2 linked regions of the Diceros bicornis minor genome follow. The protein of the gene in region 1 purifies or fractionates together with the protein of each later gene. This does not show direct contact. Links are inferred from orthologs where the notes say so. Each region holds a gene or a part of one and is shown in the gene's direction. Other genes may lie near its edges.

Region 1 (7,756 bases):
TAATTTTTCCTATTTGTGGTCTTCTCTTTTCCCCTTAAATAAGTCCCTTTAGCATTTCTTGTAACACTGGTTTCTTGGTGACAAACTCCTTTAATTTTTGCTTGTCTGGGAAACTTTTTATTTCTCCTTCCATTTTGAATGATAACCTTGCCAGGTAGAGTATTCTTGGCTGTAAGTTTTTTCCTTTCAGCACTTTAAATATATCATGCCACTATCTTCTAGTCTGTAAGGTTTCTGCTGAGAAGTCAGCTGATAACTTTATGGGGTTTCCTTTGTATGTAACTTGTCTTTCTCTTGTGGCTTTTAGAATTCTCTCTTTATCTTTAATCCTGGACATTTTAATTATGATGTGTCTTGGTGGGGGCCTCTTTGGGTTTATCTTGTTTGGTGCTCTCTGTGCTTCCTGTACCTGGATGTCTGTGTCCTTCCTTAGGTTAGGGAAGTTTTCATCTATTATTTCTTCAAATAGATTCTCTGCCCCTTTGTCTCACTCTTCTCCTTCTGGGACACCTATAACACGGATGTTAGTGCACTTGATGTTGTCTCAGAGGTCCCTTAGACTGTCCTCACTCTTTTTAATCCTTTTTTCTTTTACCTGTTCAGCTTGGGTGATTTCTTCTAGTCTTTCATCTAGCTCACTACAAAGTTCTTTATATATAGTTTTGGGGGGAGAATATGGTCCCCATTCTTGTGGAATTTATAATCTAATTAAGAAGACAAAATATATGAGTATAAAACAAAAAAATCAGTGCAGCACATCTTCTTCCTGGTTTTCTAGGCCTTTCATATCCTGACTCTACTCTACTTTTTTGTGTGTGTGAGGAAGATCAGCTCTGAGCTAACATCTATGCCAATCCTCCTCTTTTTGCTGAGGAAGACTGGCCCTGGGCTAACACCTGTGCCCATCTTCCTCCACTTTATATGGGACGCCACCACAGCATGGCCTGACAAGCAGGGCATCGGTGCGCACCCAGGATCGGACTCGGGCCACCAGCAGCGGAACATGCACGCTGAACCACTACACTACCAGGCCAGCCCCTCTAGTCTATTTTTTCACTACTCCCCTTAGAGAACATTCTTCTGTAGTTAGGCAGATTTGCTAAGTCTCCCCCACAGATTATAAAAAAGGAGGCTTTTTCTTTCCAAAATGACAAAAATTGTGTCTAGAGACCAGAGCCTGTTTTCCAGGCACTAAGGTATGAGCCATAATCAGGTTTCTTGCATTCACAGCTTGGCGGGGAAGTGGGGCGTGGTAGGTAGTCTTAGGGTGATATTCCCTAGGGGCCTCAGTGAGAACTGCTAAAACATCCGGGCCCCACAACTGCAGGGGCCTCATTGGTGAGTAGACTCCCTGTGCCTGCAGCCCACAGCCTCTTTTTTCTCTGGTTGGTGCTGGAGACACATGTCTTTGAGCTCCACTCTTCCTCACTCCACAAAAGCCATTCCTCTTCCCTCAAACAAACTATAGGGGAGTTAATTTTGTTTCAGTTTCCTTATTTATAAGTACACTGTAATCATGACTTTTTGAGATTACCTGAAGAGAGCCTTATAATTCAGTGTTGCCTAGCTCTGGAGTCAGATCTACCAAGGTTCAAATCCCAGCTCTTTGATCTTGAGTGAGTTACTTGGGTTCTCTGTGTTATAGGGTCCTTTTCTATAAAATGGGGTTGATAACATGGTTGTCTAGAGGATTAAATGAGATAATACACAAGTTTAGGGCAACACTTGGTTGTAAGGACACACAAACACATACGCATATATAAACATACTATGTTAATCAATTAATTTATACACTGCAACATTGCCACTGCTACAGGCTTTGTGCTCATCTGGCCTTGTGTTATTTCTCTCTTTTCTCCCCTTCTCAGCTGGATGCATTACGTGAATGTACTCATTTAGCTGATTACTTAATTTAGACATAGTTTTTGTTGCTAACTATCCTATTTAGGAATATCAGGAATTATAAGACAAAAATCACCCAGAATGACTATATCCAGAGACTACCACTTTTTTTTGTTTTGGTGAGGAAGATTAGCCCTGAACTAACATCTGTTGCCAATCCTCTTCTTTTAGCTGAGGAAGATGGGTCCTGGGCTAACATCCGTGCCCATCTTCCTCTACTTCATATGTGAGATGCCGCCACAGCATGGCTTAATGAGAGTGGTATGTAGCTCCACACCTGGGATCTGAACCTGTGAACCCCAGGCTGCCTGAAGTGGTGCAAACTTAACCACTACACCACCGGGCCGGCCCCTAGAGACCACCATTTTTAACATTTGGCTGCATACTTTTCTGGACTTTAAAATATATAATATTTTATATTATATAGTATTATATAATTTATAATATATTATTAATATATTTTTAAAATATATAAATATATATATACTGACATTGTTTCACAAAATTAGATGCTATACTCTATTTTGTCATTTGCTTTTCTTCTTGAACACATCTACAAGACTGTTAGCTCCACCAGGGGATAAGTCTTGTGGTTTTGTCCCTAGTGTCTGGTTTAGCCCACGGCTCATAACAGATACTCAAAAAATAAAACAACTCAAAGGAATGAATGACTCCATGTCAATAAACACATATCCCAATAACAATAAACACAATCATTAATCATAATATTCTCCTAAATAAGTGTGTCACATTTTCCCCAGGCAAGCCTCTAATTGGAAATTTACTTGTTTCCAATTTGTTTCATACATATATATTTGAAAAATTTAAAAAGATGTTTTAAAAAAAGGCACAAAGAATAACACAACACACATTATTGAACCTAATCACCCAGAATCAACAAATTTTAAGATTTTGACAGTTTTGCTTCACTTCTTTAAATAAAAAAAAAAGCATTGCAGATAAAGCTGAACTCTTTCTCTCCTCAGTCTAATTTCTCTCCTTCCTTCTACACAGGCAACAGCTGTCATGAATTTGGTGTGTACTTTTGTAGTCCATGTCTCTACTTATATAAAGTATAGGATTAGTATAGGTTCTGCGGGGTTTTGTTTATATATAAATATGGCATCATAGTGTATATATAGTTATGCAACTTTCTTTTTTCTACTCTACAATGGTTTTGAATTCTGTCTACACTCATTTTTTCTTTGAAAAGTACAGAGCTAGTTAGTTCATTCACTTAGCTATTTTATATATTTCATCATTTGAATATCTACCATCTATTTTCCTATTATTCCCTATTGCTGGACATTTAAGTTCTTCCTGATTTTTCACTATTGCAAACAATGCTGTAATGGTTGTTGTAATTACAAAATTTTATTAGGTGTTTACACATAAATTTTAAAGTCCATTAAATTCCTCTTATTTACAATATTTCACTTGACAAAAATGTTTTATTTAATTATGTTCAGATCTTTGAAGACAGAGCAAGGGCAAGATCTTTAAACACACACAAAGGAAGACTGGTAGCCAGCCCTGCGGCTTGGGGCTTGGGTGCAGAAAGTATGGGCAGTGTATAAGGGAAAAGGTACACAGCTGAGTGCAAGGGGGACTCAGTTACAGAATATCTGCTGGAGATTTATACTGCGCAACATGTCTGGGTTGAGCACAGGATACGACTGAAAAAGTAAATTGAATTCCAAACTGCACAATAATGGTTTAATTACCAGAGCTCAAAGAAGAGAGAAAACAGGAGGGAGATCTGAGAAGATTCCCTGGAAGAGCCAAGGCAAAGTCAGGGCTAAAAACCTGGGTGGGATTTAGAAAGGAAGGAGGAGAAGATGGCAGACCAGGGACAGGTAAGGTTGTTAAAACAGTCCGGAGATAATGACCTTATTTACTGTTTCTTTCCAGATTAAAATTTAAAAATTTCACAGGAGTTTATTAATTAAAAAGGAAATTAGGTTGGCTTTTAAATCGATGTTAGTCCTCCTCATCATCTACCACAGACTGTAGGCGGTAGGAAGTATGACGTTAGACGGACAGCCAGAAGTAGATTAAAGATTTGGCTTCCAGTCTGTTATTTCTACTCACATCTCTGCACAGTCCCTGCATACGTCCTTGTACCAAATCCATAGCCCCCAAATGGAAAGACAGTCAGCGGTTGAAACGCAAAAACCAAAATCTCTCTTGTTGGTATACATTCTTATACTGTTCTGTATACCATAAAACACTTCTCATAAACAAAATATACACAGCACTGGGGGTTGATTAAATTAAAACCGATTGAATTTGGGTGTATATTTGACGTCTTTCCATGACTCACGGCTAGCTGTCTGCCCTTTTCGGCACCTATTTGGTAACTTGGTGGCTCCTTCAAGCCTGTTAACTTACTTTCTTCACCAAGGCTGGTGTGAGATGCTTAAGAAAAAAGTGGCTGTAAGACAGAGTTACCAACTTTTAATACAAGTCCAGTCGAGGGGGCAATACTGGAGTTGGGGCCGGGTGACAAACTGGCAAAAAGGTCCGTAGGAGGAGGCGGGGAGGCCGCGGGCAGGTGGCGACGGGCGCGGGCGGCCGCGACCTGGAGGCAGGAAGCGGCGGCCGGGCGGAGCGAGCCGGCCGCCGAGCGGCAAGGGCCGCAGGCGCCCCGCCCGGGCTGGTATGCGGCCGAGAGTGACGCGGGAGGCGGGGTCACGTGACGCCCGTGGAATGCCAACAATGTAGCGAATGTCCCACTTGGGTCTGCGCGTTGGAACAGCGGCGTGAGCGCCCCGGGAAGATGGAGCAGCCGCCGCCCGCGCCGCCGCCGCCCGGGGCTCCCCTGTCCCTGCGGGGCCAGCAGCAGCTCCAGCCACCGGCGCCCGGTCCCCCGGCGCGCGAGGCCCCGGAGCCACAGGCGAGGACGCCCCGGAGCGTGTAGACCGCGCCCCAGGAGGTGAAGGGGCAGGGGCGGGAGCGGGCGGCCAAGGAAGTTTGTCAGGACCGGAGCTCTGCGCCCTGCCCCCACGGCCCCCGCCCGTCCTGGGCCCAGAGCCGCCCCCGCCGGCGGCGCGTCGTCGCGGGCCGTCCGGAGTCCGCCGAGCCGGCTCGCGCGGGCCGGGAGGCTGGGGGCGAGCGCCGGGCGGCAGGGTGCGCCGCTTTGTTGTGCGCTGGGGGCCGGGGGCGGCGAGCGGGGGGCGCCCGCGCCTCCACCGTCCCGGGAGCCGGGCTTCTACCCGAGTGCCCGGCCTCCGCGGTGCCAGCGGGCGGCCCTGACAGCGCCGGGGTCCCGCGCCTGGCCGCCCCGCCTTCCACGGAGGCCGCCCCGTCGTACCCGACTGGCCGCGGCGTCGTGTCCCCACGGAGGCCGCGCCGCTGTGTCCCCTCGGGCGGCGGGGAAGCCGGGCCCGCCCCGGCGTCTCCGTGTTGGCCTCCAGGTCCTCGCGGGTCGAAGCCCGGGCTTCCAGGGGCGCATTCGTGGCCGTGAGAGCGGCGGCCGTTGCATAACGTGCCCGTCCTGCGCCCCAGTCTAGCCGACTTTTCTGGAGGTTGTCTTTTCTGATGCAACTTTACTTGTAGTTAGTTCCGCGGCCGGACTCGGGAGATGCAGATTCCGATAAAATTCGCATTTTGGCAATCACTTCTGCTCCAGCCTTACTTCGGAACTTCAGGACGAGCGTCTGCCTCCGGGTGAAGCCTGGCCTGGGGTCGGGCAGGAGTGCCAGCTCGGAGCAGACCTTTCGTTTGTGGATTCCAAGTCCCCGGTGCCCTGGGGGTGGGGGAAGGGGAAGGCATACCCCCAAAGAAGGTAAAACGCACCGGACGGCGGTGTCACGGGTGTCCTGGGCTGCCGGCAGCATGTTCTGAGGCCCTCGAATGAGAAGTAGTCTTTGCAAGCATAACCGTGAAAAGTACACTTTATTTGTAGATTTTATGTTGACAAAATTTTAAACAACAACTTTTACATTTTCACACCTATGTAGAATATAAGTGAGAGTGTTCTTAATGTAATAGTCATCTAGACTTTTAAAAATTATTTAACCTTGGCTATTAAACCAGGGAGTATACACTTGGCAAGTAAAAATTCAGTGGCCCATCAGCTCTCTTCCCAATGTATTCAGCAAATATGTACATTTTTAAAGGAAAGATTGCCCACATTTTACTAAGAAACTTGAATATACTGAAATTTGAATGGAAAGACAAAATGTGTGTGATCTTCGTACAGGTGTTCTGTTTAAATTTTGACTTAGTAGATGAGGGGCCTTCCCTTAGTAATGGAGAAAGTAACTCGCGGCTTATTATTAGGGAATTTGTACTAAATAGATCTTGCTCCATATTTTTTGTTGATTCTCAGCTTAAATCCCTGTGTGATGGATTACCATTTTTGAGTGCTAAATCAAAATACTAAGTTGCTTGGTATCTTCTAAGCTTTTTGTTTAGCAACTGTTGTAGTAAGGTGGTAACAGAAAAATCTTCCAAAAGAAGAATGCAGAGACTATTTAAGAAGGTCTGTTTTGAATTATAATTAACAAGACGCTGTTATTCAGCATCTCATAAAATTTGGTCTCATTATCCAGGTATATAGAGCACTGTTTAATGAATATGACAGCATTCCCTTGAAATTAAAATTGCTGTACATTTAATAGATCTCAACATGTCAAGCAATTTAAAGTGGCATCCGAACAGAAGATGTCATGCGAAATTATTGAGGTGAATGAATTACTAGAATCACGGAATTTTAGAATTGAAGGGATTCTTTTAGCCTCTCCATCTGTTTTGAAAGTTTTGACTGAAGTGTAAATTGGAGCTGTACATATTTCTTTCTTTCCTTAGCAAATCACAGGGTTGGTGGGAGGGACTTCCCTTTGGTGGGAGGGGAATGTTTTTACAATAAGAAGCCTTGTTATTTTAAATGCTGTGTTGTGAATAGCCAGTCCTAGGCTCCTAAATCCCATTGTAGGGGGGTGGAGAGGTAGGGGAGGTGTTGAAGCTGATAAATTAACCATGAACACGAAGGAAGGATTTGGGGAAGCTTTGGAGCTGTTCTGCTTTGTATTGGAAAAACCAGACCAACACAGTTTTTGAAAAGCTGCTTTTATATTTTATTTCATGGTTATAATAATGTGAAACTTCTAAATAATATTCCTTACTGACTTTTTAAAAATAGTGGGCTTGAAGACATACAGAAGATAAATTTAGTGCATTTATTTTGTCTTAAATGTAATTCTGCTCTAAAAAGGATCAAAATATCCTGATAAACAGAATGAAGAGATTGGTCTTGATAATCCCTGAAGTGACTGACTTCCAGCTCAAAAAATTCTCATAATCTTCCTTTTTAAAAAGCCTGTTGCTTAGTAATTCCTCTGGATAGAACTGGGCCTTGCATGAGTCCAGGGGGTCACCATTCCCATTGTATGCGGAGTGGATGAGCTCTGGGAGGTGGAGCTTCCTCACACAGAGCACCTGTGAATTGCTCCCGAAGTTTGTCGGTGGCCTGCTTGGGCCACTAGTTTCACTAAGTATTAGTCAGCTGTTCTTTCAGTACTTTTAAGGCTAATGTTATTTGATTTACAGTTTCATTTTGAAAGTATTATTAAAATAATGTTGGAAATAGAGATAATGGTTATGATGCTAAAATTAGAATGGAAATTTTACACTGCTTAATGTTCTCATTCACTATATGAAAACTTTATGTTGCTTACCATCTAGACTGTGTCAACCTACCTGTAACAAGTGATTTTTTTTTAAGTTAAATACTTTTTGTTCATGTGCCAGTATTTGACGTTCATAGGAATTTTTCTGGAGGACAAATGGAAAATCTCATATTTTGTAGCAGTGCTTTGTGTTTATTGTTAATTCATTGTGAAGATATTGC
Region 2 (7,245 bases), on another chromosome or scaffold:
GAATTATATAAGGCAGATTTTATTATTCCCGTATTACACATGAGGAAATTAAAGCTTAAAGAGTTGTATGTCTCACCAGCAGCTGCTCTCCCGCTGTGTGACCAAGCAGTCTACAGGGCCTTGTAGCTATTTCTTAGTCCTGTCAGCCAAGCTGTATTTTGAGCTGCATACACGTGCGCACACACACACGTACACAAAATTTGTGCATTTTGAATGGATTGAGAAGTAAAAATGGCTCTCCATTCAGTCTACAACAAATATTGATTGCTTACTAGGTGTCAGGTACTGTGCAAGGTACTATGGTACCTTGTACAGTGTACAAGGTACACTGTTGATCAGGTCAGAGGTTGACTACACTATTGTGTAGTCGGGAAGCCAGGCAAGCCAGGCATTTAAGCAGGCAATGAAATGACTTGTGATAAGGGTCATGCTGGGGGAGCAACGGCAGTATACAGCAAGGGTAGTTAACCTACTCTGGCAGTCTGGAAAGGCTTCTCAGAGAGTGGAGTTCAAACCGATACCTGAAAGAAGGGGAAGAGTTAACCAGAAGGGAAGGGAGGCCAGGAGAGTGTTCCAAACACAGGGAACAGCAAGTACAAAAGTCCAGGGGCAAGAGAGAGCACATACAAGGTGCAATTCTACTGGAGAACAGTTGGAGGAGGGGATGGTGTTGAGAGAAGAGGCTGGAAAGGTAGAAAGACCTTGTAAAATATCATAAAGAGTATAGACTTTAGTTCAAGGGCAGTGAGAAATCATTGAAAGGTTTTATAGCAGGGAAACAAGATGATCAGTTTTGTGTTTTAGAAGAATCACTTGACCTCAGGGTCTAAGATGGATTGAGGGAGAAAAGCCTCGGCAGGGAGACTTTTGCAGTGGTTCAGGAGAGAAAAGATGGTGGCTTGATAGATATCATGGTGATAAGGGGAGGAGAGATTTGAAAGATATTTAGGAAGCAGGATTGATAGGACTTGGTTGGATATGAGGTTAAGGGAGGAGGACATAAGGTTGATGTTCAGGTTTCTGGCTTAAGCGCCTAATTGGTTAATGGTGCAATTTACTCAGGGAATGCTGGAGGAGCCAGTTTCGGGAGGCAGGGAAGGTGGTCAGTATGCCTTTGAGGCAACCAAGTGGAGATGCTAGTAGTCAGCACCCTGCCTGGTCTTTTTGTGCCATCCTCTCTGGCTCTCTATCAGACAATGCTCTGCTGCTATTCACAGGGTTTTCATGGCTGATTTTTTTGGAAGTGGGTGGCCAAGTCCTTCTTCCTAGTCTGTCTTAGTCTGGAAGCTCCACTGAAACCTGTCCACCTCGGTGGCACAGCTTTCAGCATCACACAGCCACCGCAGTATAACAACTGACAGACGGGTGGTGTGGATCCATGACTGGGAAACAAACCTGGGCTGCAGCCATGAGAGCATAGACTTTTAACCACTAGACCAGCAGGGCTGGCTGAATTCAAGTCCTGGGGGTGGAGAATAGGGCCTGTGGAGCTCCCGCCTCCAGTTCAGACAGTGGAGTGGTTACCCCCAGTTCGTGGGCACTGCTCCAGCATGCCCTATCAGTGCACCTGTCTCCCCCTGCACTTGTCTTTGCTTCCTGCTATCCCCTGAAAACACAGGTTTTCAATCCCAACTGTGCCCACTGCTGCCACCACCAACTCCTGGATGGGCCTCCTTTAATGGCCTCTCAACTTTTCACAAGATTTACTCTCCCATCCTCACCCCAAAGGAGCAAAGCTTCCAAATATTAGAGGCTGTGTGGATATTTTGGATGTAAGGAATTGGAAAGAAGAATCCAGGTTCTCCTTCCCCATCTGGAGACAGGAAAGGAGGGAGAGTCTTATGGTTAATTTTGAAGATGTTGCTCACAGTGGGTTCTAGATACAACCTGATAGCTCTCCTCTGTTACTAATGCTTTCGGTGCTCCCTGCCTCCAGTCCAATAGTAAACTCTTCTCTGGATCAGAGCAAAGCTGTAGGCCTGACCAGGGAAACAGGCTGACTCTCAGGAGAGATGAGGTCAGGGTGACAATGCAGCTAGGACAAAGAACCAAATAGTGTGTGCCAAATTAATTTCCCCAAAGATGTTAACCTCCTTTCCTTCCCCATTCCCTAAGGCTACAAGAAGATTATAAAAGGTGTTCAAATGTTGAGATGAAAATAATATGCATGATTTGTTTGCATATAATTTTCATACTCATTTACTATCTAAATACAAAGGAGTCATTTTCCTTCTCCATTCTACTTCCTCAGCCCCTGGCCCCTGACGTGCTAGTCTGGGCAAAGTCAGCTGGCTGGTATTTAATCAGGTTTGTTCAGCTTCAGCCACAGTTTCTTCTTTTCCTTATTCTTCTTCTTTTTTTTTAATTTTGCTTTTATTTATTCATTCATTCATTCAGGGAGGAAGATCAGCCCGGAGCTAACATCCAATGCCAATCCTCCTCTTTTTGTGGAGGAAGATTGGCCCTGGGCTAACATCAGTGCCCATCTTCCTCTCCTTTGTATGGGATGTGGCCACAGCATGGCTTGACAAGTGGTGCCTCTGTGTGCCCCGAGGATCGGAACCTGTGACCCCTCTGGCCGCTGAAGCAGAATGCGTGCGCTTCACTGCTAGGCCACAGGGCTGGCCTTCTTTTCCTTACTCTTTATCCTTTTTCTTTCGCCCCCAACCCCAGTAGATAGTTGTATGTCATAGCTGCACATCCTTCTAGTTGCTGTATATGAGACACCACCTCAGCATGGCCGGAGAAGCTGTGCATTGGTGAGCGCCCAGGGTCTGAACCCAGGCCACCAGTAGTGGAGCACAGGCACTGAACCGCTAAGCCACAGGCCGGCCCTCTTTATCCTTTTAGTATGGCCAAGATCAGCCTCTTTTCTTCTTCCACCCTGATCATTTTCACTTGCTATCTCCTCTAAATGACATTTCTTTTCTTCCTCTTAAATTAATCTTAAATTACTCTTCATCACCAATCTCCTGTAGGCCAACAAAGCAGGAGGCTAGCGTTCCCTAGCCCTAAAACCAGGCCTTTTATCCCCATAGTCACCTGAAATATTTGCTAAACATCTCACTTCCCAACACCAGGGGGTGTCTGTCTATCCCTCTATCTGTCCCACCCTGAAGGTAGAGATTAGTCCCAAACCTTTTCCTCACTCCTTTTACATAGACGCTAAAGCTCCCTTTCTCCCTCCCACCCATCACAGAGCTTTGGGTTCAGAAAATGGTTTCTTTTTAATTGCAGTTTATCTGTTTGTCTCTCATTCTCTCTGGACTTGCATATATTTGTCTTTTTCTTACTATTCATCCTTCTGTCTCCACACCACCCACGACCCCTTTTGCTGGGGCTCTCCCTTTCTTTCGCTACCTGTCTTCCATCACGTCTCTGTAGGGGCTTCCTCGCCTGTCTGGGCTCTTTATGTACACGTCTCTGAACCTCTTTATGTACGTACCTTTCTTCTTGCTCCCTGTCTTCCTTTTTATGGATCTCTCCCTCTCTCACTACTTCTGTATCAGTCTTTCTCCATCTCTCCCACAGTCCCCACACTAAGAACAAAGTCACAGTATTTGCGGAGAACAAGCCTCGCGTCGCCCCGTCCAGGACTGCGACATTCCACCGTGCCCCTCCGCGCCCCTGCGCGCATTCCAACTGCAAACAAAGAGTTCCCCTCTCCCACCCCACTTTTTCCTGCCCCAATTCTTGAGTAACGTAGCGGCAGCTGCCCAAACTGCTCCTCGCCCTCCTCTCGCCTCCAGTCGCAGGATCTCCACCTCCAGGGCAGTTAGCACCAGCACCAGCACCACCACCCCACGCCACCCCCTCCCACTGCCTGGCGCACCAGAGATCCCTGCGCAGACACCCCCGTTCCTCTCGCACTCGGCGCTCCGCCCTCCAGGAAAGTAGATCCGGCCAGGCAGACAAAAGTTTGGGAGAGAAGTTGGGTCGGTGCTGAGTGTGAGTGCGAGGGGGGCGGGGGCCGGCGAGAGTGGGTCTGCCCAGCGAGTCGACGCGTGAACAGATAGACCTGCGGACGGGACAGTCGCGGCCGCAGGAGCTTCTAGCCCCGCTTAACCCCTGATGCGCGGGGGGCCGCAGCTTCTCTCGCTGGGGGATGCTGCGAGATTCTTGGCGCCGGGCATCCGGGCCGCCCGCTAAACCCGTGTGCCTACTCTGTGCCCCTGGCGAACCGGAGTCCGGCCGCAGGGAAAGAGAAGCGGCCACTGAGACGCTGCAGGGTGCCGGGCGGGGAGGGGGCTGGAGGCCCCAGGCCCGAGGGCATGGAGCGATTAGGAGAGAAAGCCAGTCGCCTGCTGGAGAAGTTAAGGCTCTCGGACTCCGGCAGCGCCAAGTTCGGCCGCAGAAAGGGTGAATCTAGCCGGTCTGGGTCTGATGGGACCCCTGGGCCGGGCAAGGGGCGACTGAGTGGGCTGGGGGGACCTAGGAAATCTGGGCCCCGTGGAGCTACTGGAGGACCTGGGGATGAGCCGTTGGAGCCAACCCGGGAGCAAGGCCCCCTGGACGCAGAGCGGAACCCGCGCGGCTCCTTTGAGGCGCAGCGCTACGAAGGCTCCTTCCCCGGGGGGCCGCCTCCCAACCGGGCCTTGCCTCTACCTCAGTCATTGCCCCCCGACTTTCGGCTGGAGACTACGGCCCCAGCCCTAAGCCCTCGCTCCAGTTTCGCCAGTAGCTCAGCCAGCGACGCGAGCAAGCCGTCCAGCCCCCGGTGCAGCCTGCTGCTGGACGGGGCGGGGGCTGGCGGAGCCGGAGGTAGCCGACCCTGCAGCAATCGTACCAGCGGCATCAGCATGGGCTACGACCAGCGCCACGGCAGTCCCTTGCCCGCCGGGCCATGCCTGTTTGGCCCACCCCTGCCCGGGGCTCCGGCGGGCTATTCCCCTGGAGGGGTGCCGTCCGCCTACCCGGAGCTCCACGCTGCCCTGGACCGACTGTGCGCTCATCGGCCCGCGGGGTTCGGCTGCCAGGAAAGCCGCCACTCGTATCCCCCGGCCCTAGGCAGCCCCGGAGCTCTAGCCGGGGCCGGAATGGGAGCCGCAGGGCCCTTGGAGAGACGAGGGGCGCAACCCGGACGACACTCAGTGACCGGCTACGGGGACTGCGCCGCGGGCGCCCGATACCAGGATGAGCTAACAGCGTTGCTGCGCCTGACGGTGGGCACGGGTGGACGAGAAGCCGGCGCCCGCGGGGAACCGTCGGGGATTGAGCCGTCGGGTCTGGAGGAGCTGCCGGGTCCGTTCGTTCCAGAGGTCGCCCGGGCCCGAATGCGGGAGCCGGAGGCCAGAGAGGACTACTTCGGTGAGTGAGAGAAGTGGTTAGGGACGGGAAGGGACCCGCCACCGCATTCGGTTCCGCACTGCCCCGACAGCCCAAATGGCCGGCGCCGGGAGATCGGAGGCGGAGACGCGGGGCTAGAAAAGAGGCAAGAGGGATTTCCCCTTCCCACTGGGTTTCAGATGAACCAGGGGCTCCTTATTCTCGCTAAATTCAAGCCCCCTGATTATCTCCGAAGTCCCAGTTCCTCAAGCTTTAGAGCCTCGGTTTTTCGCGGTAGGAGGCCTCATAGGGAGGGGACCAAGTGGGGCAATGAGAGCATCCCCCATCTTGCAGGCGGCGGTGCCCCTGCAGGCTTCTGCGCACCGCGCCCCCACCCGGGCCTAGGCTCCGCCCGCAGGAATTCGGGGAATGCGCGGGAGGAGGGGCGGGGCGGGCAGGCCGCGTGCGTGCCGGCTCCTGCCCCGGCGCTCCAGGTGCCCGCGGGCGGGGCCGGCTGCGCGGCGCTGGGGAGAAGGGTGGGGTGCGGGGCGAGGCGGGGGGCCTGCTTCCTAACCCGCGCGGAACTGTGGCCGCGGTGGGGGAAGTGGATCCTGGGGAAGGAGGATGAAGTCGCCTGGGACTGAAAACAGGGACCCTACTGCTGGCTCGCCCCAGTCCTGCTGGCTCGGTGCATGCGTGGGCATTTTATCGGAGACCTGGTGGTGTCAGCTTCTTTTTTCCCCATTCTCCGGAAGTCAGAGCAGAAGCCACGACCACCGGGACATCATCACCCCTGGATGGATAACGACCATAGGGTCGTAACTGCCAGAAGTACCTGGCTTTCAGTTCTGGCCATAACCTACTTAGCATTCAGGCTAGTCTAGCTCCTTACTTTCTGCTGCTGTTAAGGAAACCTGGTAATTGTCTCTCCCCCATGCGGTTACCTTTAAGAAGTATTCATTGATTATATGTTTTAGCTGGGGGGGATACTGGGGTGTCAACGATCTTTTAGCCAAGACCCACAGGACCACTTCACTATATAAAGAAATGCTAGTCTGATTGTGATAGGAAGAACAGAAGTAGAAGGCTCACCCCTAGGGCTGTGGGCCCCTTCGGTTTTCCAAGCATCTCCTTCTCACCTTTCTCACCATCCTTGTTACTGCCCTGGACCCCATGCTCTAAACCTCTGTGGCTATAAGCTTGAGTAGGGAGAGGAACCTAGCTATAAACATGAGTAGGGAGGAGATTCAGAGGCATCAGGGGAAGGAACCTGCTTAGTTTAACCCCAACCCTTCCACCTTTTCCCCCCTACCCTGAGAGAGGAAAGCCCACAGCAGGTAATGCTTTGGTCAAGGGAGACTAAGTGCCAGGATCCTTTTAGCAGTTTCCTTTTGAGGCCCAGGAGAAGTAGCTGTTGGATGGAAAGAAGTCTCCTTGGCTAAGCCATCAGAGCCAAAAGGAAGAAAGGAGCTCAGAGAGAGTGCAATAAAATGGCAGGAAGAACCTAGGTGTGGATATGCTGGGTTAGAGGAGGTTAGGTGGCCATGCCTGAGCAGTTTGCTTTTGTCTTCCCATAATCACCAAGGCTTCCCAAAAAAATAGCTCTGACAGGGCCCCCTGGCATGGCAATTTTGGGGCAGATCTCCCCTCCCATGGAGGCCACATTTTGACCCCAGAGGTGGGGGACTCCTCTCCGGGGGGTCAGATTGCCTTCTCTGACAGAACCCTCCTCCTGACTGTACCCTCCTACTCCTGCCCCTAGTAGGGGCCCTTTTCCTTGGCTACAGCCTTGCCCAGCTGCCAGAGGGTGGGAGCAGGACAGGCCTGGGCCCATCAGTTGCTGCAGCTGCTGCACGGGCTCCCAAGCCCCTGGGCAAAGACTGGGATGGGCCCCAACAGGCAAGGAGCGTGGCAGTATGCCGAGGGGGAAAGGTGGGGCGGGGTAAGGCGGGCCCGTTGGGATCTGCTCCCCAAAGACAG

What was found.
Region 2: the proteins of LATS2 (region 1) and AJUBA purify together in Homo sapiens (affinity purification with western blotting; 3 studies listed by BioGRID and IntAct, with this or other methods). This does not show direct contact. The link is inferred for Diceros bicornis minor from reciprocal best matches to the Homo sapiens genes LATS2 and AJUBA.

The regions. Positions count from the first base shown.
Region 1 is NC_080748.1:5,593,692-5,601,447, reverse strand, and holds the start of LATS2 (serine/threonine-protein kinase LATS2), read left to right. Parts: upstream 1-4,670; 5' UTR 4,671-4,837; intron 4,838-7,756. UniProt on the Homo sapiens protein: Negative regulator of YAP1 in the Hippo signaling pathway that plays a pivotal role in organ size control and tumor suppression by restricting proliferation and promoting apoptosis.
Region 2 is NC_080744.1:24,763,370-24,770,614, forward strand, and holds the start of AJUBA (LIM domain-containing protein ajuba), read left to right. Parts: upstream 1-3,837; 5' UTR 3,838-4,271; coding exon 4,272-5,307; intron 5,308-7,245.